Linked DNA regions of Drosophila melanogaster. Changing the gene in region 3 together with the main gene of any one other region gives a genetic interaction. Each region holds a gene or a part of one and is shown on either strand. Other genes may lie near its edges.

Evidence for each region.
Region 1: of Cul3 (region 3) and hts, changing one suppresses a phenotype caused by changing the other (phenotypic suppression), as found in Drosophila melanogaster (one study listed by BioGRID).
Region 2: of Cul3 (region 3) and COX5A, changing one suppresses a phenotype caused by changing the other (phenotypic suppression), as found in Drosophila melanogaster (one study listed by BioGRID).
Region 4: of Cul3 (region 3) and gcl, changing one suppresses a phenotype caused by changing the other (phenotypic suppression), as found in Drosophila melanogaster (one study listed by BioGRID).

What each region holds. Positions count from the first base shown.
Region 1 is NT_033778.4:19,420,742-19,427,773, forward strand, and holds the start of hts (hu li tai shao), read right to left. Parts: upstream 4,163-7,032; 5' UTR 4,082-4,162; intron 3,374-4,081; exon of another isoform or gene 3,057-3,373; 5' UTR 2,853-3,056; intron 1-2,852. Other genes in the region: CalpA (Calpain-A), read left to right, coding at 5,304-5,477, 5,606-5,650, 5,889-6,065, 6,127-6,203, 6,273-6,397, 6,460-6,580, 6,637-6,877, 6,936-7,032. UniProt on the Drosophila melanogaster protein: Required for assembling actin at ring canals in developing egg chambers. Probably interacts with other developmental proteins involved in nurse cell/oocyte transport through the ring canals. Important for normal neuromotor function.
Region 2 is NT_033777.3:11,816,119-11,821,947, reverse strand, and holds COX5A (cytochrome c oxidase subunit 5A), read right to left. Parts: upstream 2,590-5,829; 5' UTR 2,546-2,589; exon of another isoform or gene 2,528-2,545; intron 2,401-2,527; 5' UTR 2,304-2,400; exon of another isoform or gene 2,238-2,303; 5' UTR 2,237-2,237; coding exon 1,787-2,236; 3' UTR 1,649-1,786; downstream 1-1,648. Other genes in the region: Kyat (kynurenine aminotransferase), read left to right, coding at 129-668, 728-1,540; glo (glorund), read left to right, coding at 3,006-3,375, 3,811-3,942, 4,610-4,754, 5,191-5,336, 5,404-5,829. UniProt on the Drosophila melanogaster protein: Component of the cytochrome c oxidase, the last enzyme in the mitochondrial electron transport chain which drives oxidative phosphorylation.
Region 3 is NT_033779.5:15,264,356-15,273,373, forward strand, and holds Cul3 (cullin 3), read right to left. Parts: upstream 5,970-9,018; 5' UTR 5,562-5,969; coding exon 5,019-5,561; intron 4,850-5,018; coding exon 4,466-4,849; intron 4,403-4,465; coding exon 3,641-4,402; intron 3,579-3,640; coding exon 3,408-3,578; intron 3,346-3,407; coding exon 3,175-3,345; intron 3,113-3,174; coding exon 2,998-3,112; intron 2,933-2,997; coding exon 2,790-2,932; intron 2,665-2,789; coding exon 2,441-2,664; intron 2,380-2,440; coding exon 2,241-2,379; intron 2,172-2,240; coding exon 2,019-2,171; 3' UTR 1,674-2,018; downstream 1-1,673.
Region 4 is NT_033778.4:8,720,102-8,729,636, forward strand, and holds gcl (germ cell-less), read left to right. Parts: upstream 1-4,156; 5' UTR 4,157-4,363; intron 4,364-4,539; exon of another isoform or gene 4,540-4,584; intron 4,585-4,803; exon of another isoform or gene 4,804-4,964; intron 4,965-6,513; 5' UTR 6,514-6,536; coding exon 6,537-6,670; intron 6,671-6,728; coding exon 6,729-7,676; intron 7,677-7,746; coding exon 7,747-8,374; 3' UTR 8,375-8,898; downstream 8,899-9,535. Other genes in the region: CG14767 (uncharacterized protein), read right to left, coding at 3,156-3,329; CG30357 (uncharacterized protein), read right to left, coding at 52-1,407; CG30356 (uncharacterized protein), read right to left, coding at 8,915-9,364. UniProt on the Drosophila melanogaster protein: Required for the specification of pole cells and germ cell formation. Mothers with reduced glc function give rise to sterile adult progeny that lack germ cells.

The DNA.
Region 1 (7,032 bases), on a different chromosome or scaffold from region 3:
CATGCTGACAACTCTTTTTCTCTCTTTTCTTCCAAGATTTATGTTGTGTTGCAGCAGTTTGTTGTTGCACGATGCGGCCGTGCTGCTTCTGCAACTGTACATTTGTTATTGCTTGTCGCTGTGCATGCCGCTGTCTCTGTCTATCTCTTTAGCTGGGTTTCATTGCCTGGTTTATTGTTGTTCTTGCTGTTTTATTGATGAGCTGCAGTTGTTTAGCCAGCAGCAACATCTCTCTTTTTTTTAATCTTGCTTATGTGTCTCTGTTTTGAAGCTTGGCACGTACGCCTCTTTTATTTATTTATGTGTGAGGGTTTTCAGGCTGGCTATCTCCCCTTCATTTTCCCGTCTCACTCTGTTGCATCTTCACGTCAATTGGCTTTGGGGCAGAAACAGAGTAGAATTTATTTTTCAGTTTTTAGGGAGCCATAAATTTTGAGCATTCGCTCTTGGACAAATTTGTTTTTCGTCTTAGCCAGAGTTGCCAGACTCGCAGAGGAGCTCCACTGCAGCCACATTAATCAAAATTATTCAGCTTAATCCTAACCATTTTCAAATCAATTAATCACAAGTGATGTGACGTCAGTGGGAATTTTGATAAGCACACGCTTGAGTAAACAATTTTCAGTTCCCAAATCAAAAGTCATTAGGACTGGTTGGCCCCATCAAATGCATTTGCATTGACGGACACGCCTCAATAAAGGTTAGAAAGTTAGTCTTTTCGTATACTTGAAGTGCATTTCTTATCGTTTTTCTTATTTGTTTTATTTGTTATGGTTTCGGGGGCTCACAATTTCGAATTTCCGTCTCATTTCCATTCCAAAACATTTTTTGTTGTTTAGTTTCCTCAACAATTGTTTACAGTTTTAACTATGCACTTCCTCCCGTGAGAATGAAACGCACACAAAGAAAAAAAGAGGCAGTCAATTTTATTTTGGTTGACCCGTTGACTACGAAAACATTCAGAATTTTCCAATCCGTAAAGATTTCGTACTTTACTTTATGTTGTTTAGGTTATATCATATTTCGTTTTTTTTTCTGTGTAGATACTTTTATGTGTCACTTTTTTTTAGCGGAAGCAATCGTTTTTGTATTATTTTTGTTGTCTTTTTACACTGAGTCTGCTTCACCTTTTCAGTATTCGTAGTGCAAATGGAATTCAATACAAATAATGCCTCAACGATTTTCGAAAATTCTCTAAATGCAACTTGCGGTGTGCAAAAAACCTCAATTGAAACCCTCAACCAACGAGTCACGTCTAATTTGCGAATTGAAAACGGACAACAGAGCAAGAGGAACAAGTGAAAAGCTTGATAAGGGGTGATAAAGGGGGAGGCAGCATAAGCAATGAATAAATAAAGCCCACTGCCCATGTATTTCTATGAGTAAATTCGAATTAGCAACAAAAGCCAGCAAACAAAAAGAGCAAATTTTTATTTTATTTTTTTACCTTTTTTATAAGCAATGTGTGCGAAATGACGTCATGTATCGCAAAATATGTAGCTAAGGCAAATGGAATGCTCGAATTTGATATGATGAGTATATAGAACAGGAAGTAAGGTAATAGAAATCGAAGAATGTTGTAAATAGGTAGGTAGTTAGTTGGTGGCAAAGGAGAAATTCCTTATAACTTAAATTGGGAATGTTGTTGGCTTGTTGTAATGTGGATATGTAGGTACTTGTATAGAAACAGCAATCTAACAAGAAAACGTAACCAGCGCGAAGGTTCTGATAAGATTGCGGGAGAGCACACACACAATCGAACTCCTATGACTTGCATAAGAACATCTATAGAAGGCTATATATAAAACAAAGTTTTATAGGAAACATTGCTAATTTAAATTATATTAAATTCTATAAGCGTAATGTTTCATTTAAGCATAGCGCATTGAATTGGGTTAAAGAATAATTAAAGTAAAAGGTTATCAATTCCTATTCGTTCAAGATTACAATAAATTACAGAAATATCAAGATGGGCTCTGAATGACAACAAAAAATTTAAAAATCGAACTGACTGAGTATCAAGAACTACCTCCGATACCTATAAAGTCTATTTTGTAGGCATTGGGTTGCACTGACAAATGGCATAAACAAGTTTTCAATATTTACAAATCTGTTTATCACTTGTTGCTGCTTTTCACTATTTACTTTGCTGAAAGGCGAGAGACCAAGGAGGAAAAGTGGGTCATGAAACTTGCCCACAGATGCGCGCCAGCAGGCGGATTTATTGCCCAAGTGCATTAGGCACACGGCTAGAGATTTGCAAGTGGCATTCGCAACAAATTGCCAAATAAAAGATGAATAAAATCAGCGACGAGAATTGGAAAATGGGTTTTTTTTTTAATCTGACAAGCGCATAGAAAGCCGGAGGTAGAAAGAAGCATGAATCATATGGAAAGGAAAAGCACACGCACACACAATCACACCCACCCGAAAAAAGAGAAAGAGAGAAGAAAAGTGGCTAGAACTAGAAGCTCAAACAGTGGCGTCTGAATGGGGGTCAATGTGGTGCTACACCTTAAACATTTGCTCATATTTCCGGATAAATTTAAATATAATATGTTCTTGATCTTAAATGACATTTATGACCCCTGAATAATAATCTGTAGTTTCGCCACTGTCTATGAAGCATAACAACAAAATAGACACACTACTCACTCACACACGCCGTGTTGCGTGAGCTTGACCAAACCCAAAAAACAAAAACAACACTTATTAGAGAAGCACAAAAGATGGCGTCACCGGCCGAATTGCCGCTCATCGTCATAACGGTTAAAACGAATGCAGGGCACGAGGGGACATTCACTATTTAACGGGATTATAACACATCATCCGGTAGATGCAAGAATACTCACCGGTACTTTTAGTATTCTTTTAAATTCGTTGATCCTCCAGTGGCCGCTAACACAGGCACAGGTCACAAATACAACGGTCACACTCACTGTATGTGTTAGAGGAGAAACGCACGCGTTTTTTATAAATGTATTCTCGCTCTCGCACCTCGGTTTTTGGTTTTCAGCCGCTAATTCGTACAAACACACATACGCCACAGAGGGAGACTATCAATAAAAGGGGAGGGAGAGGGTAGAAAATTTTAATAGATTTAACTTTTTATTGCCTTGAATGCAATATGTTTAAAATAAATAATTTTGTTCTCTTTTGGGCTTCTTGCACTACACCAAATAACTGTTAATATTTTTTTTTTTGCAAAATTGCCGCTCCTAACAGCACTTAGCACTTTTAATTCTTTGAATTAAATTTTAGTTGCACCGCAGCGAATAAATATTTCAAGTTGAATTGCCTACGAGAACTTAATCCAAAATCGTACGGACACGTCCGACGGGCAGAGCACGAATGAAGCGCAAAAGAGAACTGCGCACGGACAGTGGCAAAGAAGCCGAGAGAGAGAGGGCGGGCAGTGTTAGGCAACGTCAAGTGGAGATGTTGAAAACAACTAAACTGAAGTAACTTCCAGACAAACTGGCTTCCAAACGGGGTTAACTAAATTCGGTAAACAATCGAAAAGCATTAGTTTGCCTTGCAAATCACTCAAATTGCGCAAAAGTGTTCAAGAGAATACGAGAAGAGAGCGAAGGAAAGTGGGAGAGAGAAAGAGAGTTCTTCATCCTGCAACGCCCAAATATACACGCTTGTGTGTGTGCGAGAGAGTGTATGGGGAGGAACGAATATTTGGAGCAAAGCGCAGGGGAAAATAGCGGTGCAAGTCCTTTTTGCCACCTTGACCACAAACAAAAAACGCCTTTTTTGGCGCTCTCTTCGCACTTTTAGGTATTCTTCGCACAAAAACTATGTCAATTAAGCCGCACACGTCGATTATGTCATATTATTTATACGAATACACTTTCACACACAAGCGCCGCGCCATATACACACATTCGTGTCCGTGCGTGTGTGTGTATGAACGGCGTCGCATTCTCGTCACCGGCAATGCCGTGAAAAAATCGATGGTCAATTTGCTGTACGGGTGTATTCGCCTCTATTTTCTCGTTTCATTTAATAAAGTCTATCACTAATTTTAGAAGCCCACTAATTGGTCAATGGGTTCGATAAAACCACTGCTTACAATTTGTAAATGCTGAACTTCACGAAATTTCGCCCGCGTGATGTGTTTCGTTTTCGATATTTCGTACTACGATTTTGTTAGGGATGGACAAACCTGACGCATGTCAATGGGTCGATATTTGTTTGAAATATCGATGCTCTTATCGAAATATTTTTCAGTAAAATCGGGCGATTATCGATATATTTACATTGAAATAGGGCTGGCAAATCACAAATTTCGGCAAAATACTTCGATAAAAATAAATACCAAAACATTCGATAGCAGTCAGGTGTTGAGCTACAGATATAAATATTTGTAGTGAGTAAATATCTCCGTGCGGTGAAGGTGCGTGGTTCCGTTACTTTATTGTTGTGCTGTGATTTTGGGGAGTGAAAGTGCGTGATTCGATTCGGAAATCGTTCTCTCGACCAATCAAGGTCCGTTGGAAAATGGGCAAATATATATAGTATTAGAAATATCAAGTGCCTATGACGAATATACTATTCTTTACGAAAATATGGTGGTCACGGGAATGAGCCAGGCCAGAAGAATGCATTAATTACCAAACCTGTTTGGGTTTCGCCGTAGAATTACCAATGTTCGCAAATACAATAACAGATGGGTCAGCCAATCTAGCATATTTCGCCCCAATTAAAGGCCAATTTACTATTGTCACAGAAATATATACCCTATATGTGTCGTACATATGTAGTAGTTCCATGGGTCAATGTCAATATCCCGGCTTAATATGGATAAAAAACGAAGCTTAATCTCCCGAATGGCGCACACCCTTTGAGTCACTAGAGAATCTCATGCTTCCGAATGATGTCACACAATATAGCATATATATATAGCGGCTACATATGTATAAATACAGCATTGTATATGTAGAAACATTTGAATTATATTTGGGTGCGAACCGAGACATTCTTGTCTCCAAAGTATAATTTCAGTTTGCGTGAATTAAAGTAATTTCATTTAGCCCGACTTCCAGTCACACTGGGAATACTAACGATTCTGTAATGCTCGTTAAACCATATTTATGTCTCTGGGTGTGCTTTTAATTCCACCGCGAGGCTTATAAGTAAATATGGGCGATATAAAAAATATTGGATGTTGCTAACTAGTCATCAAATGTTTGAACAATAAATATTTATTAATGGGTTTTTAATCTGAGGCGGCACCTTACACTGCTAACTGATATTAAACTATATATGTACATATATTTTCAGATATCTGCACGATGGACGACTTGAGGGGATTCTTGAGGCAAGCGGGACAGGAGTTCCTCAATGCAGCTGGTGAGGCTGCAATGGGAGCGGCCAAGGATGTGGTCGGATCGGTGATCAACGAGATCTTCATCAAGAAGGAGGCCGACACCAAGAGGGTTCTGCCCAGCATCAAGAATATGAGAGTTGTAAGTTGACCCACACGGTTATCAACAGTTATTTATAGGGCGCTATACTATACTAAACAAACATAGAAAACAATCCATTGAAATCTACATATGCATGTTAACAAATACATATACATTCCACTCATTAGCAACCATTGCAATCTCAAAGTAATAGTACGTTGTACTATGGGAACGTAAGTACCTACTCCCGTCATCGTAATGGCATTGACATAATTCCATTCCAAGGATAATGCGCTGCCAAAGTGTCGTACTGTGTTGTCCTTGTGTTCTTTTTCTTTCGCATGTAAAGTGTAAAACGCATCATCGTTTATACAACTCCATTACACAACTTTATCGTGTACATACATAATACTCTTAATCAAGTTCATCAATTTTGTTAGATTCATATCACTAATAGCATGTATTTTTTAGCTGGGAGAGAAGAGCTCGAGCCTGGGACCCTATTCCGAGGTGCAGGACTATGAGACAATATTGAACAGCTGCCTGGCCAGTGGTTCCCTTTTCGAAGATCCACTTTTTCCGGCTTCGAACGAGTCTCTTCAGTTTTCCCGGCGTCCAGATCGTCACATCGAATGGCTGAGACCTCATGTAAGTTTTAGATACTACCATATTACCCGTAACTAAAGGTATAAATGCTTTAATTATAAAGGAAATTGCCGAGAATCCCCAGTTTTTTGTGGAGGGTTATTCGCGTTTTGATGTTCAGCAAGGCGAGCTTGGTGACTGGTAAGAACAAAATCTCTATTTCCGCAGCCAGAATAATTAATAGTTTTAAATAAATGCTTACATTTACAGTTGGCTCTTGGCTGCCACAGCCAATTTAACTCAGGAATCCAACCTTTTCTTTCGGGTAATTCCAGCGGAACAGAGTTTCGAGGAGAACTATGCTGGTATCTTCCATTTCCGCTTTTGGCAGTATGGTAAATTATTTATTAAAAAAATTATTCATGCGCTTCTTACAATTTTAGTTTAAAATTTTAAGGTAAATGGGTTGATGTAATCATTGATGACCGTTTGCCCACTTATAATGGAGAGCTGATGTACATGCACTCCACGGAGAAGAACGAGTTCTGGAGCGCCCTGCTGGAGAAGGCTTATGCCAAGTAGGACTACATTATTCACATACTTTATGGTCAACTGATGTATATATGCTTTCTAGACTTCATGGATCCTACGAGGCACTAAAGGGAGGCAGCACTTGCGAGGCCATGGAGGACTTTACTGGCGGCGTATCCGAGTGGTACGATTTAAAAGAAGCACCCGGCAATCTATTCACCATTCTGCAAAAAGCAGCTGAACGCAATTCCATGATGGGATGCTCGATTGAGCCTGATCCAAATGTCACGGAGGCAGAAACTCCTCAGGGCTTAATCCGTGGTCACGCTTACTCCATAACCAAGGTTTGTTCGGAAAATTGCTATGATAAGAACATTTTATTAATTAATCTTATGTCAACAGGTTTGCCTTATTGACATAGTAACGCCAAATCGTCAGGGAAAGATCCCTATGATAAGAATGCGAAATCCTTGGGGCAATGAAGCCGAGTGGAATGGAC
Region 2 (5,829 bases), on a different chromosome or scaffold from region 3:
ATTTGAGATCAGACATCAGACCCGCAGAGACGACAGGCAAAGTGCGTGCTTATCGCGCAATAAACAATCCAGACACGCGGTGATAAGGCGAAAGGGAGCGATCATTCACTAAAGTCACCTTTTTACAGATGCTACGCAGCTGTCAGTTAACCCTCTCCGCCGCTAAGAGGAGCCTTCGCGAGCAGTTCCAGTTGCAAGCCCTTCGTCACCAGCAGACTGCCATTAAAATGGAGAAATTCGATCTGCCCAAGCGATTGCAGGGTAGCACGCCCAGCGTCTGGAACGAGTACATTGCCCTGGCCATGCAATATAAGCCCCTGAACTTGGGACAGGGATTTCCCGATGATGCCGCTCCCGAGTACGTGACCCACTCGTTGGCCGACATTGCCAAGGAGCAGAATCCTCTTCTGCATCAGTACACTCGCGGTTACGGTCACGTTCGCCTGGTCAATGCGCTATCCAAGCTCTATAGCGGTCTCGTCGGCAAGGAGCTAAATCCCCTCAGCGACATACTGATTACCTCAGGCGCCTATGAGGCTCTCTACTCCACCATCATGGGCCATGTGGACGTGGGCGACGAGGTGATCATTATTGAACCATTCTTTGATTGCTACGAGCCTATGGTCAAGATGGCCGGTGGAGTGCCCCGCTTTGTTCCCCTAAAATTGGTAAGAACCACAATAGAAAAAAAAAATATATCCCTCTTTTTAACATGTCTAACTTCTAGCGCAAGACAGAGGGACCAATAAGCTCTGCCGATTGGGTGCTAGATGACGCTGAGTTCGAGAGTCTGTTCAACTCTAAAACAAAGATGATTATCCTAAACACGCCCCACAACCCTATTGGAAAGGTCTTCAACCGGAAAGAGCTAGAGAGGATAGCCGAGCTCTGCCGCAAGTGGAATGTGCTGTGCGTCTCGGACGAGGTGTATGAGTGGTTGGTGTTCGACGGAGCCGAGCACATCCGTATCTGCACGCTGCCGGGCATGTGGGATCGCACCATTACTCTGGGATCAGCGGGCAAGACCTTCTCAGTAACTGGTTGGAAAATAGGCTGGGCCTACGGACCCGCTGAACTGATTCGAAACCTGCAGATGGTGCATCAGAACTCTGTGTACACCTGTCCAACGCCGCTCCAGGAGGGCGTCGCACGCAGTTTCGAGGTAGAACTGGCCCGTTTGGGTCAGCCGGAGAGCTACTTCCTTAGCCTGCCGCGCGAGCTGAAGCAGAAGCGTGACTTCATGGCCAAGTTCCTGTCCGAATCCGGTATGCGTCCCACCATTCCTGAGGGTGGCTACTTTATGCTGGCAGACTGGTCACCACTGGCGGGCAAGATTGATCTAAGCTCTGAGCCAGACAAGCATCGGGATTACAAGTTTACCAAGTGGATGACCAAGAACATGGGCTTGCAGGGCATACCGCCAAGTGCCTTCTACAGCGAACCCAACAAACATCTGGGGGAGGACTTTGTGCGCTACTGCTTCATCAAGAAGCAAGAGAACCTGGATAAGGCGGCCGAACTGCTGTCCAAATGGAAATAGTCGCCGGACAATAAACGAATTGCTATCAGCCGCTTTGTTTATCTCTGCCCGAATGCAGTTCCCTAACCTGGGTGTTACGTAACCAACAGGGAAAACAACCTTGTGCTGGTGTGGTAGCCTTACTGCAATCTCCATTTATTAGCAATCCAACAACATGTTCATCCGCACCATACATTGGATAGTAGGTAGCTAGTGTCGCTGTAACGTGTATATTGTGTTCTGTGTTTTTAAACTAGTGTTCTCCGCTTAGGCATCGTACACGGACTTCAGGGCCAATTCGGGCTTGTCGTAGCCCAGTTCCTCGATGGTTGGGATGCCCAGCTCCTGCAGTGTGGGGGTGATCTTCTCCAGCAAGTAGGGATAGAGGGTGGCCTTTTGGTCGCCGCACTTGTCCTTGCATCCCTCCAGCCACCTGATGGCCAGTGCAATGTCGTTGACGCGACGGCTGGCACGCAGACCGGCCTCGATGATCTTGGGGCTGGGCACCAGATCCATGCCCAGCAGATCGTTCATGCCCTTGCGGATCTCCCAGCCATCGATGCCCTCACGGCTGAAGTACTTCTCGTAGCGCTTGTCGAACTCCTCCGCCGATTCCTCGGTTCCGTGCAGACAGCGCACGGCGGCCACGCGCGACGATGTGCCGACGAGGCTGCTGCGGAGGGCGCTTGCCAGGTTACGGGCCGTGATGCTCAACATGCTGCCGTTAAAAACAGTAAAATGCTTGTTAATTGCAAAAATTTGGTTAAGTAACAGCTCGACTCACTTTTCTTGTTCTTGCTACTTTTCACACGGGTATGACAGATCTGAGTGATGGTTGGCAACACTGGCTTTTCCAGGGATGGACACGTTTATAACTGTCGCTGTCACGGAACAGTGAGATATTTAAAATGTTTCTGCTTCAGTATATTTCAAATTCGGGTAAGATCACAGTTAGTTTATCATTTTCCTTATATTTAATTTCTTCTATCTTGCCCAAAAAAAGCAAAAAAAAAATCAAAATCAAACCTTGTTTCTTTTTCAACGGTCCACATTGATGCTGGCTACTGCCAGGCGGTATTTTTTGATGATTTAATTGCGGTCACACTGCATCTTCAACTTGACGCGTGCTATTTGATTAATCTCTCTGAAAAATAAGTCAAATTAACCGATAAAGTTTAAAAAAAGGCGATATTGGAAGTTGAAACAGAGCAGAATACGGTTAGTTCTCTGTTCCGCCACCAGGTGTGACATTTAGAAGCGTTTATATTGTGTACGAGACTTGCAAAATGTCATAAGCAATTAGGGGTGACAAGAAATCAAAATGGCGTACGCGGTGCAAAAAAGAATCGCACCAAACAAGCGTCGCTGCTGAGTGGAGAATCACTAGCTCAAAAAATCGCATTTTCAGCCAGTAAAAAACAATTAAAACTAGTTAACCAGTGACTAATCGTTGTAACACCATTTGCAGGTAGAGATCTGGTGAAAAATGTCCAACGCAGACGTGCAATTTAACTACGGCCAGCAGGGAAATGGCGACAACTTCAACGACGACAGCAACCAGCAGCAGGATGAGGATGACCAGTACAACGAAGATGGCGGCGGCAAGATCGAAAACGTCGGCGAGAGCCCCAAATTCGTTCGGTTGCGCGGCCTGCCCTGGTCCGCAACGCACAAGGAGATACTCGACTTTCTGGAAAACGTGAATGTGACTAATGGCTCGGCGGGCATTCACCTGGTCACCAGTCGGGTCGACGGCAAGAACACCGGCGAGGCGTACGTGGAGGTGGCCAGCCAGGAGGACGTCGAAGAGGCTCGCAAGCTGAACAAGGCCAGCATGGGTCACCGCTACATTGAAGGTTTGTTTATTTGCCACTTGAGTGGGGGATGACTGTACCTGATGACTATCTTGGCAGTTATAGTTAGTTTCTTCTCACTTTGTTTATATGTTTATCCTTTTAACAAGCTTGAACTTGTTCTGATTCCATACATGGAATCGAAGATGATTTATTTCTTCATTGTTTTGCTACTTATACTGGTAGCGCTTATTTTCTTTTCATTCATTGTGGAATTTTACCTAATATTAAGGAGGTTTTACAAATATGTCACTGTATTGTTACTCTTATCCTTGCTTCTATCGAGGTAAACTAAAATTTAGTAAAGTAAATTTCACACCACCATTTATAATCTGTATTCATGTTAATTCTTATCTTAATAACAAACACAAAATGGTGCAGAAAACTTGTTTGTTTTTTTTCCGTTTTAACTGATGTAATTGGTTTTTATTTCTTTAGTTTTTACCGCCACGCCCAAGGAGGCCAAGGAAGCCATGCGGAAGATCAGCGGACACGGCACGGCCTTCGTTGTGAAGCTTCGTGGTCTGCCATATGCCGTCACTGAGCAGCAAATCGAGGAGTTCTTCTCTGGTAAGTTTCCTGACCCAAATCCTCTTTCCATACTAATATGTACCAGGTACCAGGAAAAAAGACAGTGGTTGACCGCATGTATTATTTGTTCACATCGTTGAGATATGGCCTACGGTCCCCTTTCATCTACACCTTTCATATATCAATTACACATGCGTTTCAACGTACATACATATTGTCGGGCAAAGAAATGCAGGCCCTTGCATTTGTGTAATGGGTTCGGCGGTTCACGCGGCTCCTTCCAAAGTCAACGGCTGAGAGTTGACGCGGTCACGTCCGCTTGTCCGATAAATCATTCCTTCGTTGGTCACATAACCCAGTTTACTTGGTTATATGGTCGATCATTACTCACAACCTTCAACTGAGCTACACATGTCTACGAGTTACAGGATCTGAGTTTTGTAATACATTGTGGTCCGGGAAACTCGATTGCAACAGTCGCATCTTGCCTGGTGATCATAGTTTGACTAAAAGGCACTGTTTATTTATGCAAACGTTGCTAATACCGTGAGAACCTGCAAAAGTTCTGCGGTGTTGGAACTAAACAATAACATTTATCAACCTCTGTATTTCTGTTTTTCTATCTAAGCTTAACCTTGCATAATGTATATATATATATGAAATCTATATATTTGTATAAATCTTTGTTGGTTATCGTCATGGGCAGGGTTGGATATCAAAACGGATCGGGAGGGCATACTTTTTGTTATGGACAGAAGGGGTCGTGCAACTGGGGAAGCTTTTGTTCAGTTCGAAAGCCAGGACGACACTGAGCAAGCCTTGGGCCGAAATCGGGAAAAAATTGGGCACAGGTGGGTTTCTAATTCATCATATCTTCTACAACAAAAACAGCGAAATTAAAACATTAAGTGGTAATCGATTGCGAACTTGTTGAAACACACAAGGACTATACAATTATTCACAAAATATTTAATAACTTTTATCACAAATAATTTCTATTTCAGTAACTGAGAAATCATTTAGCAAAAAATTTTCCCATAGCTACGGGTCTGGTGGGGCTCTCTAAATACATATATATGTTTAAGCGCGATCATGTGCTTTATCTAACAAATTAATTAAACTGTGAACAGCATTTTTATTTATTTTATTTGATCATTTCAATGAATTTATTTTGATTTCATTTTTTTACGTGATATTTAATAGTTGATCATGGAAAAAAGCCACCGACCCTAGCAATTTCAAGTACCACTTTTAAAATACATATATTTTCCACTTTTATTCACATAGGTATATTGAGATATTCCGCAGCTCGATTGCTGAAATGAAGAGGGCCACAGGCGCCGGTGGCGGTGTCGGAGGACGCCCTGGCCCTTATGACATACGTGATCGTGGTGCCAACCGTGGTGGCAATGATTTCGGCGGAGGGCGCAATGGTATGTTCAGATCTAATTGTTAAATTTTATAAAACTTCACTGATTGCCATTCCGATGTTAAACAAAGATTGGGGCAACAATGGCAACTTTGGCGTTGGTGCCAACAACATGCTGGGCTTCAACAATCTGCCAAGCCTGATGAACTCGGGCAACTTTGGAAACAACCAAGGTGGAAATAATGGAAATTTTGGAAATAACTCTGGACCCAGCAATTTCGGCAACTTTGGTGGCGGCAACAACGGTGGAAATTCCGGCAACTTTGGAAACGACAGTGGTAACAGCGGAAACTTTGGAAACTTCGGCAATAATGGAGGCGGAAACTTCGGCGGCAACAACAACGGCGGCGGTGGTTTCAACAGTGGCAACAACTTCAATTCTCCAGGTGGCGTTAATAATTTCGGCAACAATGGCGGCTCCAATTTTGGCGGCAATGGTGGAGGAGGTTTCAATAACGGCGGAAACTTCGTATCCTCGAGTGGTGTTGGCAACTTTG
Region 3 (9,018 bases):
AAAAATCACAACAAAAAACACTTGTAAAGTTGTAAGCTTATTAAAAACAACACAAAAATGGGCGGAAAAAAAAATAAAAAATAGAGAAAATATATCTGATTCGAACCTTGGCGGCGACGTCAAGAGCAGCTCAGCGCGCTGCGTTCATATCTTTTGTTTGCAGTCTTCTGACGTAGCAATGTAGTTTTGTTTATTTATATTTTTCTTGTTTTTGAGCTACACACACGCGTATTAAGTATACGGTTTCAGCATGTTGTTGTTTTTATTTCTTGCCACGATCCAAATACCGCGCGTTTCGTCTGCGCTCCGTTCGCGATCGCCAACGAAACCGAACTGAGCGCTCCGCTCCACACACTCGCTCCCCACCACCACCGGCCAAGAGCGGCTCTCTAGAGAGTTGAAAAACTCGACGGACTCTCAGCGCTTATCAGTGCGTCGGGGAATCGAATTGGATCGCTGCGTGTGTTTACCCAAGAACTTAGCATTCTGAATTTCTGGCCGGGCTCACGATATACATATGTATGTATGTATCTTACACAATATGCGAAAGTCATCGCTGTTTGCCCAAGTTGCGGTTTCGGGGTTCTGCCAATTTCGTATAATTGTTAACTCATCCGGTGTATATTTGCCCATGGATAAGTTTGTTTGGTCGCATTGATAACTCCGATATGGTCGTTCAACGCGGTTACACAATAGCTGGAAAAAAGCTGCAAAAACCATGAATTTTAAAGATTAAGAACTAAAAAATTTCGAATGATTCAGAGAATGATTATGCCAATCCTTAAGTCTTATTGCCCATCCCAAATTTTACACGATTAGCACAATATGTTGGGCACCAATTGAAAACAGTAGATTTTTTGCAGATTTAAATTGTTACCAAGTTCGTTTTATTGTACAGGCGAATAAAAGCATTTCATTGAAAATATTTTAAAATCCTTTTAAAAGATAGACAACAACTGTGTTAACGCTCATTATACGTTTTATTTATATCGATTTCTCTTTTATGTAAGAACAAAATTTATTTACAGTGTTTAGATCGCGTTTGCTTGCTTCCGTTTTCGTGCTTTCGGTTCGGCGTTAAATTGTTTTTCAAAATCAATTCTATGTGTGTCCTACTTAACTCAAATCCATTACAGAAGTGTTGCCTACATATGCCTGGAATCGATTCCCACATATCAACTAATAGATAAAACAACTTTTTCGTACAGATTATCATAATCACTTCACGTTGCTTTGGGCGTACACAAAAAATGAAGATAGAGGAATATGAATAGTCATTGCAATCCTTACGTTCTGTTCACACGCATCTCAAAACGTGGGATGAATGTTTTTATTTGGATTGAAACAGACGACGTATAAATGTACATCAAACGCTCTCTAAAATTCATAATTCATTTATAAATTTATTACTTTAGCTATATTTATAGTTATTAATATTTTCTTGCTTATATTTCTGTTGTTGCTTCTTTACCTTTTTACTCAGCTGCTTACAATTAGGGGCTGCATTATGCATTATTTCTCTTATCTTGCTTTGCGTACGATTCTTGTGGGTGGATGTGGTGTGTGTGGTTGTGGCTCTGAATGGGGTGGTGGTGGAGCAGGTGTGTATGTGGTTGTTTGGGCTTACTGCTATACACTTGTTATGCGCAAAGAAATGACCATAAACAGTAATTAGAGAATATCAAGAAATATATTAGAGGGATAATAATTATGGTGGTGCCTTATCCAATAGCATTTTTAACTGTTGAATTTTGAATGTCAGGCTTACAAAATGGGTTGCGAAACGAAATTTTACGATTCGGGGCGCACTAATTGATATATTTATGTATTCGGGTTATTGGCTGGCGGTCATCTATAATCGTGGTCAGTATCCGCCATATCAATGCCGCTCGTATGCTCAGGCCATTCCGTCCGAGCTGCAGATTGTGTTTTTCAGTTAGTGTGCAAGCCCTGGCGATTTGAAGATGAGTGTGTTCCGGATCCTGCTTAAGACGCTCCTGCTACTTTTTGTGGGCCGCTTAGGCCAAGTAGTTGTACACTTTGCGATCTTCCGGCGATCGTTGCAGATACTCGCGCTCGATTAGGCCCTCAATGCGCTTTTTGATAAACACGGGCGAGGGCAAGAAACGCGACTTTAGCTGCGACGTCACATCTGATACTAGCAAGTTGTGCTAAGAAAATAAAAACAGGAATCATGGTTAAATCACAATCCAACCAGATAGCAAACGTATAATACTTACAGCCAGACGCTTGCGGGCCTTCATTATGCGCACAATAGCCGCTTCGATCTCGTGCTTACGATCCTCGTCGACCTTTCCGCGCGTTTCCTTACGCTCTGGCTCTGATTCTCCCTTGGCGGCTACCGTTTGTATCTTCACCCTAAAATAGTTTCGATATTATTACCAGGCGCCGTTCTTTCGCACTGAAAGTAATATCTAACCTGTGGAACTTGGAGTTGAAGGCGTCGTTTACGTAAAACTCATCCGTGGGCTCAATGTCCTTAGTTTTCGTTTTAGAATTGCGTACTAACAAACGCTGAGCGGGTTTGCCCATGGACAACGATTGTAGTGCTCGGACGAGCTCCCGTTCCGGTATATCGGTCTCCTGGTGTATGTCATCGTAGGTGAGCACGTCGCGGTTATTAAACAGCAGTAGCACACACATCTAATTTTGGATTATGAAATACATGTTAAATGTTTAGTTAAATATTTTTTTCAGATCAATGAAATAAAGCTGCTTCTGCTAAATAAAATTCGGAGGTGTACGAACTAAAAGATATTTTAGCTTACCTGGTACGTGGACACTTGCAATATGTGCTTGCGTGTGGTGGTGGGCACCCCACAGCCGCTTGAACTGGAGCTGGGTGCATCTTTATCCTTTTCACTTTCAACTGCCTTGCGGCCATAAAACACAGCGTTGATATAGGCGGTTCCTATTCGAAGGGGAAGGCATAAATACAGTAGTTGCTTAAAAAAGAAGATCATTTAAGTAGCTAACCCATTTGTGGCTGTAACGTCAATTGACGTCCTGAGTGCTTATTTAGATAGAAGTTCTTGAAAATGTCAAAGGCTTCACGCGGAGCGGCGGGTATATTGCAGTTCGGAGTTGCTGTCTGTTACGGAAATTGAAGATAAGTTAACCTATTCACATAATTATGGAACAATTTAAGCTTACCTGTGTGGGCCAAAAACCAGTGGTTAGTATGCGTACCGTTAGCTCCACACCGCCAAGGGATAAATTGTTATTATTTACAAAGTTCTTAAACTCATCCATGATCGTATTGGAGACTGACATATCTTTAAACATGCCCTCTAGCTTCGAGGTGAATTGACAGCCGCATTCAGTCTGCAATAATAGAGATTAAAGCGATAAATAATTATGCTAAGATACCAAGTAACTTGACCTACCTTTAGTTTTGATATCATATTCTTCTCGAAATCATCAGAGACTGATTTGTTCAGCAGCAATCTCTTGGCTAAATGCGTCTTGTAATAGCGCTCAAAGACATCTTTCTCCAATAGGAAACGGAAGAGAACCATTGTCTTATCCAAGATGGACTCAATTTCCTGTTCGCTCATCTGTGGAAAAGTAATACACATTATTAATACATTTCAGAAAGCATATTGTAAATTCAACTCACTCCCTTGCCACCCTTTTTCAGTTTGTCATCGATGAATAGCGATAGATACTCCGGGGATTTGTTATTTAGGTTCAAGAAATGTTCAAAATCGGATGAGATGACGTTTTTGAATATGCGATCGTTGGCGAACGAGTGCACCAGAAACTGGTCGAAGCGGTCCTTGAGATCCAGCAAGTTCTGCACGAATGTTATGGGATTCGTGTTGCCGTTTTCTTCTTCCTTAACCAGCATGCGTCCTTGCTCTCGCAGATATGCCGACATTGTGTCCGCTATCACCTTGAGACCCTCCTCCTTCAGGCGCGAGAAAAGCTTATATGTGCAGGCCAGATCCTCGGTCTTTGAGTTCTTGATCATGTACACCACGCCCGAGTTCTCCATTTCAACAATGGGTCGCATGTGCTTTTTGATCAGCTCTTCTTCGACCACGCGCACAATGCGGGGCTCCGTATCCTTATCGAGATACAGCGCTGCCCGGGAAGATTCCTCCGTGATGCGCGCTTCCACTTTCTTGATGTAAACGCCAGCGTTGTTCTCGGCAAGAAAGTTCTGCGACTCGAATTTGTAAAACGCCGCCGATTGCGCAAGGAAGGGCTTTTCAAAGTCCTCTTCGTAGACAGTGCGCGAGTTAATCCCCAGGGTGATCAGCATACTGCAAGCATTCTTGATAGCCAGATGGTTAATGGCTTCGCCATGACGTTCCTCCATCACCATGCCCAGCAACTTCTCTCGCAGGGCCTTTTGAATCTCAGAATAGCGAACCACCTGGTAATGGAAAAAGCGATAAATATATTTCCAACGGAATAAATGCAATAAAGATATTCCTACCTGATCCCTGAACAAAATTAATCCCAAATTGTACACATTGTCTACCTCGCGCTGCTGCACATAAACTCTATCCATGTACATGAGTATGTCGCGGATCATCACCATAGATGTCTGGTGGTCTGTCCAGGCCTGGTTTAACTTGGGTAGGAAATTGCTGTGCAGAGCCTCCAGCACATCCGCCCGCACCTTGTGCTCCAGGTGTTCTGAGACGACCTCCCTCAGACCGTAATACAGTCTATTGCCGTGCTTATGCAGCACCATGTTGTACGCATTCCGGTAGAGTTGTTCAAACGATAGTCCGGAGTTGTTCTTTTTCTGTATCTCCTGGATAGCATTCTTTAAGCTGGCCCAAATGGTCTCCACGTACTTCTCGTCCATGGAGGCCTGGAAGAGAAATATAAGATTATTAATTTGGATAGTCAAGAACTTATTTCTCAGGGATTAAAACTTATAAATGCATAAGAGTGTAAGAGGGATATTAAGACTTTCGCTTGTTAGTAAGTTAACTAAAAGTTGAAATCCCTGTTTGGTTTTTATCAGATGGTAGGCTAACATTGAATGCCCTTCGCTTGTACTCCGGTAGCCAGAGTGGGTACTTCCGTGCTATTTCCTTAAAGCGTTTTTCTGTACTTTCTGCGCTCGCTGAAGCTGAGGTTGATGGCCCAGAGGTGGTTGCACTAGTTTCAGTTTTAACGACAGCTGGAGCAGCAGGAGCTGGAACTGGCATGGAAAGTGGCGTCGGCGTGAGCGGGTGGTTAGTATTAATTCTGTTATCAGCCCGAACTCTGCCACCGCTGGCGGCAAGGTGATAACTCCGCCGCGAGGCAGAAGCTAATCCCTGAGCGGACAATCGATTTTGGGACTGCTGGTGTTGCTGCATTGAGGAGGCGTTGGGCACATTGATGTTCATGCTTCGCGCCTGCTGTCCAAGAACGTTTTGCCTTGCAATCCGGCAAGGCACGGCAGAGTCCACATTACCGACAGTTGCGCCATTGAAGTTGTTGGAGCCGGCCACCATGCGATTGTGGTAGCGGCCGTTGGCGTTGAGGTTGTTCAGTGGCTCCGGCTGCTGTTGGCGGGGATCGCGGCCTTGCATGAGATTGCTACGCTGGTCCAGCTCACACGTCCTGTCCCGGTAGTGGCTCCTCTCTTCCTCGCTGAGTGCCAGAGAGCGAGGGGCTGGATAATAGCCCGCTGCTGAAGCCGGTGCCTGGCGAGACCGACTTTGGTTTAACGACTTAATGATGATAGCTTCAATGTCACATCCGCCGCGCGGTTCTGCTACACCTGGTCCGCTGCTCCTCCTCCTCCTCTGTGCTCCGTACTCCGGCCAGAGTTCTACTCGCGATTCGGGTCTCGCCCTTCACCCTGCTCTCCACATACAGGTGTTCACAGTCTTTTTGTGTGTGTTGTTGGTCAACAATAATTTCTCGAAAACTACGATTGAATTCGTTGTAACTTAAAAACTAAAATGTGTGTTGAAAATTCCCCTGGCCCCGGTTGGTGTTTTGATGTTTTTATTTGTTTTTGATTTTTGGTGTTTGCTTTTCATGTCGCCTGACATTTTGTGGGGAGAAATGTTTGGTGTCGCCTAACCGGTGAATTTGCTAATTGTTTTATAAAAATTATCTAACTCTTAATACCCGCAAATGGCATTATCTTATCGAAACATTTTGCAAGTTCATGATGCGATCGACAGATTTTTCGCTGCAACTCTCATCTCAACTGCAAAGCGAGTAAGGGGCTTTTCAAATGAGTATATCTCGTTTTTTAAATTCGTTTGCAAATTGCACTCAACCTTTTCAAACGCTTAATCTTAAAAATTTGAAGATCATTGTTTTTTGAACCAAAGAAATGGCATAATCTGGGATTATACAACTTGCTGTGGACAGCAAGCTCTTTCTTCATAGTGATTTCTTGGATTTGAGCTTAAAATGAAAATGTTTTTACAGTTTGTGGTTTAAACTTGTATTAGTTCCGGGTTGTCAGATAATAGATAATCTCATATTAGTTCGCTCTTAGCAATATTACACGATTAAGAGTGTGTATCGTGGTTTTAACGATGCTCCAATGTGGGTTCTTACCGGAAAGGCCCGAATGCGCATTTTGCCCTCCTTCTTGGGAGGATTTCCCCGCAGATTCATGCTTTGCAAGCGTCGGCACTGCTCCTCCACTTTATTGGCGGTTCGGACTCCGGAGCAGGGAGCTGCAAGAAGAGCAGGTGCTTCTCCGACTTTTCCGATGACGGAACCTGCTTTCCTCGGCGGCAATCAATGGTTAACACAACAAGAACACAGTTAACCTGGGTTATCCTTGGTTTATCCTGAAAGATAAGGAGAGGTGAATGGATTAGTTCTATCACAGATCTCCCAGCATGTTTACGCTACAATCCGCGTAGGGTGGTGCCGAGATGAGCATTCTGGTTTCGTATATTTGTGCAAACATTCCACGCAAATGTTAGGGTGTCAAGCGCGATGTACACAAGCAGACGTGTGTACGTACATATGTATATATATGCCCGTGTGTGTATGTCTATTTGGGGAAGCGGCTGGTTTTATTCGCGAATAGTTTGCAATTGCGGATATGTCCCGGGATACCAATCCGCCGTACTGCGTCGTCACTTCCTTTGTCGCCGCCTATATCGCAGATATCGGATATATGTGCATGTACATTGATTCGCTGGCCCATCCGATCTCTCCGCGTAAAAGAAACGGTGAAAAAAACTCACACGGCGACAATATAATTGTTATGTACATATACGTGCAATTAATACAAGAACCGTTGTTTTCGCACGCACTTCCAACCGATGATCGATAAATATACGTCCCAGGGAAGTGCATTCAATTGCTAGACGTTATCGAGCCAATGCTTCTATTTTCACTTTGTTGCTTTCTTTATTTTCTTAACGATTCTTCTATTTCACTTTGTCATGGAAAAGACGGGTTACATATGTGTGTGCGTGTGGGTGCCTGCCCGTCTCACGGTCTACGCTTGTGTGCGTATGTTTTTGTACCTGGCCTTTTGAAACGGCTTTCCACGTCGCTTTCGCACAATTTTTACTATTTCAAAATGTATTTTACCGGTGCGAATGCATTAGTAAAGTCACTACTATTATTTAGCTTGATTTGTTGCTGTTTTCAACGTTTACTTGCATTTCATATTGATTGTAGGTTTTAATAGCGATGGGCGACAAAAGTAGCATTGTTGTTGTTTTTCGAGGCGAATGGTGATAGCTATCGATAGTACTTTTCCATCGATAGTGTCAAAACCAGTTGCTCTCAACTTTATGATAAATAAAACCAGTAAAGTTAACAGGAAAGGAACTGACTTTGCATCGCACGCAACTTAAGAAAATATGTAGTTACTTTTTATTTTATTTGTTAAAGGAATATAAATATTAAATATAAAAATTAAAAGGAAAGTAACTGACTTCTTAGTACGCTTGCATCACAAGCAGAACCAGAAGAATTATTGTCACTAATTATTGATTTCTTTATTTATATAAATTAATTTTTATTTGGTAAAGATTTTATGTTCATAAATTTTGAATTTTTAAAGTACATAACATTTCCAAATATATATTTAAATTGTCTTATGTATATAATATTTTATCATAATTTATATAACATTTTTTTCCCATGTCTAGCTAACAGTGTTGCAAAATTCGTGTTGCTCTCTGTGAATGGTAGTATTTCAAAACGAAAGCCCTAAAAGTATGCTATATTTTTAAGTACGCACTGGACTTCAAATTTCAGTTAGTCCATTTCAAAAGTTTGTAATACAGATAAAAATAGTTAACTATAACTATGTAGGTGACAAAAACACAAATGATTTTGAAATAGTAGTGCTTTTTGAGATTTCAGAATAATTCTTGGAATATGAACGCACAATTTTATCGATAAACGCATGTTAAAAAGTTTAGGAGTTTTATAAAATAAGCCGTTTAATATCTACCTTACATCGTATCTGGGAAATTCCCGCTCTGACTGCGAGAGTGAAAGCTTTGCTGAAGAACTAATTACCCTGCGACAAGGTCTCGGCATTCGGTTAATAATTTAATTATGACAACTTGCAACAGGCGAAAAACAGATGTAAACGGATATCCAGCGATGGCTACCGCATGTGGCTTTCTTAATTGCCCATCGATGCCCACTGCCTTTAGTACTCCCTTGGTTGATAAGCAAAATGGCAAAAATGTGCCACAGAATTGCGAGTTTAATTTGGGCATAAACCTTTGAGCCGTGCGTGTAAATTATGCGCACTTTCACCGATCGGAGGAGCCCTTTGCGGCTTCATTTGTCGTGCGTCGAAATTAATTAGCCGCAGTTCAAGTTCCCTTCTGCGTAGGTGTTCCTCCGATGTCGTCAGCTCAGCCGTATTTATTACCATTTATGCACGACTGTCTGTTTGGCTGATGCGCCGCGAATTAATTACACTATGGGGCACAGTCAAATCAACATGAATGTTGCACGCTGCGGGTGCGGGTGCATCTGCGAATACAGCAGTATCACAATGTTGCTGAAAAATGAATGGTTACCTGGGCTGGTGTAGTT
Region 4 (9,535 bases), on a different chromosome or scaffold from region 3:
ATATATAAGTAGAAATATATATTTTACAAGTTCTACAACCAACGTGGAGACTCAACTGTTGGGCTTAGTTAAATCAGACTTCTTTGCCTGGCAACTGAAGCAAACATTGCTAGCATCTACTGGTTCCAGAGATTTCCAATAATCCCGGTGCTGGCGTTGCGTGTAATTAAGATATTCAAGGAACGCGTCGTAGGTTAAGTCCACCGTGTTCCTGCATTGCATTCGATGATGATACGGACATTTCCGGTCGTATATCCAAGTGCGTTGCACGGGTGGCTTTACGCAAGCCTTATGCAAATAGTGCTTAAAAGCCTCCCGATCTTTTCCATAAAACATCCGCGTGGTCGTGTACGCGATGCCTTCATGAATGGCTTGGCGCACAATTGGCTGCGCTACGATTCTCCCCACCCCCACAGATGTGACATCCGGTTTCTGTAAACGGATGAGCAACCACGGCGGGATTAGTCCAAAACGTATGCTGGATACAACATCCGTTACGTTTTCCTCTCTTTGAGGCCAGTGGTGGCTTAGCCACCGAGCGGCTGCCATGAAGACCTCCAGCTCCGTATTCACGCCTATCAGATCCGATTGGATGAGCAATAGCATTGATTTCAGCGGCAGTCTCAAAAACTCTTTCGATGCCACCAGCGTGAGAAAAAACTTTGAGACGCGCTCAAGATATTGCAAATGGATAACCTCAAGTTTCAGTATTTTCGCCTCAAAGTACAGCATCGCAGCGGAGTCCTCAGTGAATCCATGATCGAGGCAATACTTGCACTGCCTGACCAACTGTGGAATCTCCATAAATTTGGCAGCGTGGAAAACCTCTAGGAGACCGAGTCGCGGCAAGACTGGCGTGTCCTCGATCATCCATTCGTAGATTAGGCCAAAGGAGCGTGGCGTAATCATCTTTTCGGGCAGGGCCACGCTCAGGTCATTGCCCATATCGCGAAACATTCGCGAAAAGCTCTGTAAGACCATCAGGTGCACGGGATGACTTGTCTTTCCTATGGTGATCTCTGAATTGGTCTTTGTACGTTGCTTTACAAGGCTCACAATCTGTTGGTACAAATTGACCTTCCCTTTTAGAACCTTACTGATTTTTGATTTCTTTAAAAGCCCGGCTGTCGAGTATCCCAATGAGAATAGTGTACGCTCTTTAAGGGTGTTGAAAGCGTCAGTCTGGATTTTTAGTTCAGAAAGGGACGAGCAATTGATGGCAGTTGTATTGATGAACAAATCCCTTAGCTCATCATTCATCTCCTGTATCTCTTCTAGCTCCTCCACCGCTTCGACATCCTTATTCGCCTTAGAAGCATAGCCGCGCAGGATGACTTTATTTGAGGAAACAATGTCAATAGGACAACAAGAACTGCCTTCCGGAAATGTGTCGTCTGTGTGGGGCATTGCATTCGAATCTCGCAAATGCCTTCACCAGTTGGACAGCTTCCTCCGGATGGAATTTCATTGGAAGTAGTGGGGAATGTAGACTTTTGTGTGAGCAGAACAATATTTATAAAAATGTGAATAAGTTGTAAACGTCACAAACTAAGCAAAGATTCCCAAGGATCACGAGGGGGGACTTTAATGATAGCTCAACATTTAAAAGTATTTCGAGTGCGTTAGCAGGTGCATGGGTCCGCTCATGAAGATAAGCTGGCAAAAAAGAAGATAAGAAAGCTTCGCCTGATTTGATTTGCAGCCTGTGTGCTGATAGATGACAGCTGAATTAACAATTCTCAGATTTATGACAGCACGCTTCAGAATGTTGTTCCAGAAGAATATATCTTTCTTACCGAAAAGCAAGAGTAAGCCACCACAAGAGTAAATATTTTCGCATCACTTGTCGAGTACGTGTAGTTATTAAAAATAACTTGAACGCTCATGTTTCTGGTTGCTGTTTGCTCAGATGGCTGCCGTTGGATATCCGATTCAGTATCTAAGTATCTCAGGTTGAAGGCCTTGCAACGACCCGAGATGCGGCAACTTGCCATCTTTAGTTAAATTATTCATCAGAAATTCATCATGAAATTTAATCTGCAGTGCGCCGCAGTATATCAACAATTGTCACTCTGGGGATGAGTCAACCAAACAACAAGCAACCTTCGATTTGCGGAATTGCTTTGTTTTTAAAGCCTCTAACGCCATACATATCTACAAAATGTAAACAAAGAAACCCTTGAGATTGGACAGATTAGAAAAGATAACTCCACTGCTGTCCACACCATAATCAACCCATGTGACGGAGTTTTCTACTGGAAAACGTGACCTGATCAAAGCATAAAGAAAGTAGCGGAACAGTGTAAAATATACACGAATAGCGTAGTGAGACAAATACTATTAAGCAAGGGTTTTTGCTCAACGACTCAAATCTTTTATTGGCCGCAGATTCGCGCTCTCTTAAGGGCAGAGCATTCTCTTTCATTTTCAGAAGAGACATCAAAGGTTTCTGGGTTTCCAAAAACATTGATAACAAGACTGAAAATACTGCACTTTGCACATTTATATCCCTTTTTTTAGCCAATAAAACTAATTTCTTATGAAACTTTTGAAAATTCGACAATGCTTTACATTTCTCCAAGTGTAGCGATTGCTAATGCGAAGTCAGATCTTGTGAAAGGTTAGTTTCGGACAATGGACATGGGATGTGGAAACTTCCGCAGTGGAACCGATGGCAGAAATAAGTTGTTGTGCCAAAAAGCCCCGATGATAGTACAGTATAATTCGCTTAGCTGCATCGATAGTTAGCTGCATCGGCAAGATATCTGCATTATTTTTCCATTTTTTTGTGTGAATAGAAAATAGAAAATAGAAAAAAAAAAATTAAGTTAGCTGCATTTTTAAGTTACCTGCATCGAGGCATTGTGCAAAGTACTCGAGGCAGCTAAGCGAATTATACTGTAGTTAAATTTGATCAGATGACGCAGCAGCGGCCAATCAGCCACCAATTGACGTCACAGGCGGGGAAAGTGCAGAGTTGGCTCGTCTTCGTCTTCGCAAAGTTTTGCAGTCATTGGCTGATTGATTTTTCCCTTGCGTGACACTGAGCAGGGTCAAAGGTTTTTCGCAAATGCCGCAGGACTGCATGCGTGGGTGTATCTCGATATACACACACGCATGTATGGATTAAAGGATACCCCCCTTGATGCACTTACCAGGTGCCACAATCCGATCATCAAAGTGGCCGTGTGGACATGCAGGCCGAAGCAGCAGGTGAACTCCTTCAGGTGACGGTTTCCGGTGCTGCTGCTACTTCCGGCGGCACCATTGTTGTTGTTGCTGTGGAGCTGGTTGCGTTGGGGACCCATCTTGAGGTGGATCCTAAACATTGCACGCCCCACGAAACTGCGGCTGTGGAAAATGAATGCGAAAACGAAAGCGATAACGATAACGAGTGCAGAAAATAATCAGCAATTGTGGGTGTTTTATTCCTCCCACGGATGTGTGTTTGTGTGTGTATGTGTGTTTAGGTGTAGGTGTGTGTTGCATCTACGAGTATGTATGTATGCATTTGTATTTATGTGTGCCACTTTTTCACGACTGATGCTTTGACCTTTTGCACTACTAATTCGGCAATTGATTCACTCTCCTTTATAAGGCGTACCTTTGATTTGTGGGCCAATGCAACTTGCACTGGTTTTCAACTCCGATTTATATCTGCAGCTCTTGATGTATTCAATTTTATTTAACTGCTGCGCAGCACGAAAACCCGTGAGCACTAATCTCTGAAAGTGGTAAAATGCCGCGCAACACGGTCACACTGACATTATGCGTTTTGCAGAACGGTAACGTTTATACGAGTCATTATTCGCAAATATCATGATATTATACAATAATTTTTGAATTAGATGTCATATAAATAAACAACAAAACGAAGAGATGTAAGCTCATTTATTTCTAAATATTCATAGTTTATGTATTTTGTGTCCCCAAATGTAAATTGATATGTTTTTATTACTATTATTGAAGTTAATATTATTTTTAAAATTTACTTCGAAAGGAGCAACTCAAGATAGGTTTGTGCTTCCGCATCGTAAAGTAAATATTAATTTTAAAAAGTACGGTAAGTGTGACCGGTGCGAACGCTAAAGCGCCAATCCGCAAACATCGATAGCAGCGATGCAATCAAAATACATGCTTTGCTATCGTAGGGTGACCATAACTAAAAGATTTGGAGAGCCAACTGCAGCAAAACAGAGATAAAATTGACAGCGAACGGAATTGAAATGGCTTAAACCGCATGCCTAATCAGACTCGCGTAGAATTTTAGCCCGTGTTTATTTTATTTATTGAAACGAAGCCAGTGAACGTGGGGTGCAATTGCTGTTATATAAAAGTACGGCACTGTAACTGCAGTTTTACAGTAAGTTTCGTTTATCAGTTCCCCTTTGTGTACCTTGTTTCCTTCAGTTTTGCGTCGTTCGTTAGCGCGCTCTCTGTCGCTCTCTCTCTATCTCTTTAGTACGTATCCATCCCACCCCTTCTCTGTTATTCCCAACTACGTCACCCACCGAATTCACTTTTGTTTGCTATTTATAGCTGCGGATTAACTGCACTTCGCAGCCAGGAACATGGGGATATAAAGTGAGAAAAAGTTGATGGTCTGGTGGTCCGTTTTCCATATCGCTAATCGCGTGTTATCAGGGCCAAACAACAGGCCATCGTAAATAAGCGTTTTAAGCTGTCAATCAGCTGATTTTGCATCCATAAATAAAAGAGTGCTGCTTGTAGCCTTATCTGTAGGTTAACCACATATATTAACCTGCTTCAAACACCTTTCTCCGATTTCGGACGTCCCAAATTTTCCAGCCGCGGTGGCTCAGTCGTCTAAGGCAACTGGAATTCCCTACGAAATCAGTGCGCGAGTTCGAGTTCGAGTCTCCGCCCATGCTTGTTGGCTTCTTCCGACGATCACCCACGTTATTTAGCCGTTAACTCCTTGGGCTACATTAATTTTTTTTGTCATTTCCCTAACTTACATGTGTAAAAAAAAGAGTATCTTACATGTGTTTAGTTTATCTCAAAAGTGGAACAATCCTCCTTTAAAAATGTTTGGAGTGGGTCTTCAAAGAGAAGATCATATGCTTACGTTTTTATAAACTTAAACTTCCGGATGATACATTTCGAAAGCAAACCTTATCCCCCAAGGTGCAGTAGATAAAATCTGTCAAGCGTGAAAACTTGTTATTAAGTTTATTTTAAACATGTTTTAAAATCGTTTGGAAATGCACTTTATCTTACCACCATCGAAACAAAAGCTTCAGGCACTGCAAATGTTTCAAAAAAATTAAAAATAGTTGACTATAATAACATGTATGTTTACCCTAAACCTTCCTTTAATTTCTAAACTACGACTTTTGGAAACTCGGGTTATACTTGGAGGTCCGGCTTTGTTTGGTGGTCTTGGTCATCCCCCTTTTGTTTGTTTCCCTCTCAATCTTCAATTCTCTCTGCTCTCTGGCTTCAAGTGGTGACGTAATTTAAAGCGCTGCAATCGTCTTGTTTTGGTCTTATAAGAAATACACGCTTTGGGAACCGGTTTGGAACACTACTCTTGTTTTCGGAACTGCGCCACACCAAAACAAACCTTTCTCCACCACGGCAAAATCATCATCATCATTATTTTATGCTTAGTCTGCGTCCGAATAGATATCCATAGTCCGAGACTGTCCGGTCGCCCATATCAATGAGATCCAATGAGGTGACGAAAGCGTCCGTTTGATTGTTTATGGGCAGCAAATACACATATATACGTGTAGTAGCAGTAGCTTCCAACGCGGCCTTGACATGGTTACATCAGCTCGTCCAGTTCCAGCATTTGGCGGCAAAGCATAAACACAACATATACGCGCATGGAATCGAGCTCGTTTGATCTCATTCTAATTATAGAGTCCCGCCCCTTTAAAATTACCCAAATATGTTTGCGCTACAGTGCGGTTCAGGTCGTTAAAATCGCTTTGAACGGATGCTTCTCTGTTTCTTACTACATTATGTATTCCATGCACACAATCTTAATAGACTCTACAAATTGAATTGCATTTTGTCGACCTTAATAAAATAAATGTTGCCTTTATACACACCTTTAAAAACTAAAATACTAAGATACATGACTTGTAAAATCTAATAATTAGTCTTGGGCTTATTGCGTACCTAATCAAAAAGACTAAGCTAGATATCAGTTCAGTTACTTGCAATCTACAAATGACTTTAAGTTTTCCGAGCATCGCTGCTCAGATATCTTATGACATCACCATTGTTTATGAATGGATGCGCTTTCCACTTGGTTTTAGGGCCTGTAAAGTCGCCCACACTAATGTTCGCCCACCCGGGAAAGGTTTCCCCGCCTTAACAGCGGCTGGCGTTACAGTTTGGCGGAATGAAACTGGGTCAACTGGTTCCATTGAGGGCACCATCAACACGCAATCTGTCAGATCGATAACAGACCGCATTTTTATTGTAAACTCTATTCATGTAGGGAAATCTAAAAAAAAAATTGTATATATGCTGTTTCAGAGTAAGAATTCCTGCGCTCAGCCATGGGTCAAATAGTGGGATCCATGCATATGAACGTCGCTGAGGTGTTCAGCAATCGACGGAAGCGGAAGCGCAGCACTGATTCATCTTTGGGGAAGGATGATCCGGCCCAGTTAGACACCACTCAGCCCAAAAAGTAAGTGGTTACCTTAATTAATTTAAGGTAATTTAATTTACCTGCTTAATTTCCGCAGAAAAAAACTTCTTACTACCACCCAGTACATATACAAGGCGCTCTTCAAGGAGGAAAAGAACTCGGATGTGGCTGTCATGGCTCTGGATAAGGTCTGGCACCTGCATAAGGTGTACCTGAGCCAGAGTCCATACTTCTATACTATGTTCAATGGGACGTGGCGGGAAGCCCAGCAGAATTTCATTCAGATCACAATCCTGGACGACCGGATCACCGTTGCTAGCCTGGATGCTGTCTTTGGTTCCATGTATTCCGATGAGATCGAAATCGAGTCAGCAGATGTTATCTCGGTATTGGCCACAGCCACGTTGTTCCACTTAGACGGAATCATCGACAAGTGTGCCGAGGTGATGGTGGATAACATTAGTCCGGAGACAGCTATCCAGTATTACGAGGCCGCCTGCCAGTACGGTGTGGTCGGAGTCAAGAAGTCCACCTTTCAGTGGTTCCAGATCAATCTGCTAAGCATTTATAGTAAGCAACCGAACCTGCTTAGGCACATCTCCATTGAGCTGATGAGTGCCCTGACCGCCAGTCCCGATTTGTATGTGATGCAGACGGAGTTCTCGCTGTACACTCTACTGCGCACATGGATGTTCCTACGACTGCATCCCGACTACGATCCAGAGGACCCGGTCCAGCGGGCGGAGGCGCTAAAGACGCAGGAGCTTTTGGTTAATGCCGGCGTGGAAACGCATGCGCCTAGTGGTGATGTCGTCCAGTGGACATACTTTACCAGCCGCTCGGAGGAACGCTCGTTCTTGGCCACGCCCGAGGGGCAGCCTTATGTGAAGGTCTTTCAGAAGCTACGAACCCAGTACCTGACCAACCACTACATGGATCTAAAAATCATATACAATGACAATATTATACCCAAGGAGTGGCTGTATCGGCACATTCACAACCACTGGGATGCATTACTACGTATCGATCATGGGCAGGAGGATTGGTAAGTCTTCTGAAGCCTCTCCTGGAATTATATCATTAAAAACTAAAATCCTTTTATTCTGCATTCACAGTAGTCCTCAGCAGCTGGACGATGAGCAGTTCTTTGAGAACTGCATGCGATGCGGACGTATGTTGCTTGAGCCTGGCTACCAGAAGTGGCGCTGGACGGGCTTCAACTTTGGCATGGATCTCATCCTGATCATGGACTCGCGTAGACTGAACATTCGTCGGCACCACCGGCACGAGCACGAGCGAGTGCTTAGCCTGCAGACGAAACGCAAGTTCATGGTCCGCACCACGGTGACCTCGATAAACGCCCAGCGCCAGGCAGTCTTCACCCAAACGTCCGAGATCTGTTCTCTTAGCCTCGAAAAGAACGAGGAGGTGCCACTCATGGTGTTAGACCCAAAGTTGGTGCATCCACTTCTCATTTCAATAAACATGCTGGTGGTAATGCCACCGAATCAGAGTTTCAAGGAAATTGTTCCGCTCAGCGAGGAGGCGACAACCTCTCTCTCCATACCCATTTCGGAAATCGGAGCAAACAGCGACAGACCGCTGTCCCCGTCCAGTGCTGATGATTCGGCCGTTTTCATTGGTGACTCTGAGCCTTCGACGCCATCCTCGCCAGCCCCACGGCCCAGAATCGCTTGGTCGGCTAGCGAAACGGGCGCAATCTGCGGACAACTGGCGTGCTGAGCACGTGCTGAGCAGTCCACCAAACCAATACCAGTACCACCACTACCACCATTTTTTTGTTCATTTACCCGCAGCAGTTCGGGCTCGTTGTAGTTGTTTTGTAAATTCGTTTATCGCCATCGCGATTAGCTACGGCTGATCACTCCATCTAGACGTTTGTACATCGAGTATAAGCATATCCGCAATCGTTTTGGAATGCGCAGATCTATATTTTTGTATATCGTTTACATCACTAGTATCATGTAATGACGCTTTACGTCATCTACTTAAATGGAGTAGACGCACACTCTAGTGCCCTCGCACAATATGTAGGCGTTGCAAATAGTTTGTAAATTTGGAATTTAAAGATTAATTGTTATGTTTAAGTAACAAGAAAAAACGCGGCAAAGAAATTATGGTTTAAGCGTCTTCGAATCCTGCAAGTTCAACGCATGTAATTACTGTCCCTAACACATTTTTACTCGCTAAATGTACGCACAGTAACTATTACCTTGAGTGATCATTTATTAAAGATTACACTTAATAAAAATCTGCTCTGATTTAGTTTTGATTGTGATCCAGGTCGAGAAGGTTCCTCACCACAGATTCCTGCCAAGACTTTAAAAAGTTCATCAACATCCACTGTGCCTGTGGTCGGCATTCTTCCCCAGCAGCGGATTTTCGCAGTTGCGCCAGGACCCAGTTGACTTTTCTGCTCCGCGATCGATACGTGTAGTTAAATCTTCGCGCAGCAGCGATAAAGGGTTCTTTCTCCGACAGACTCATGTAATTCCACACCTTGCCGGCAATTAGAGTTACCCGATCCGACGGCAAGTGGCCAAGGCAGTTGTTGGAACATTTTCGAAAGTAGGCCAGAAACTGAAAGAACGGGTTGCGTCCATTGCAATCGTTGTTTTGCTTTAGCATCGAATGTCCACTGATTGACGTCGCCTTGGCGGCACTGTTGCAATGGGCCGACCTTACTCTATTATTTTTTACAGCACGTCCCATTTTGGGAGAAATTTGAAATCATCTGAATACACGAGTCTAAAATATATATGTATACATATATGTATTTGTCTAACAATTAAATCAAAGTACATATTCGGGGTCGTTTAACAATTGAATTGTTTGCAATTAACAACAAAAAATTTAATAAGATTTACCTAGTTCCATACAGAC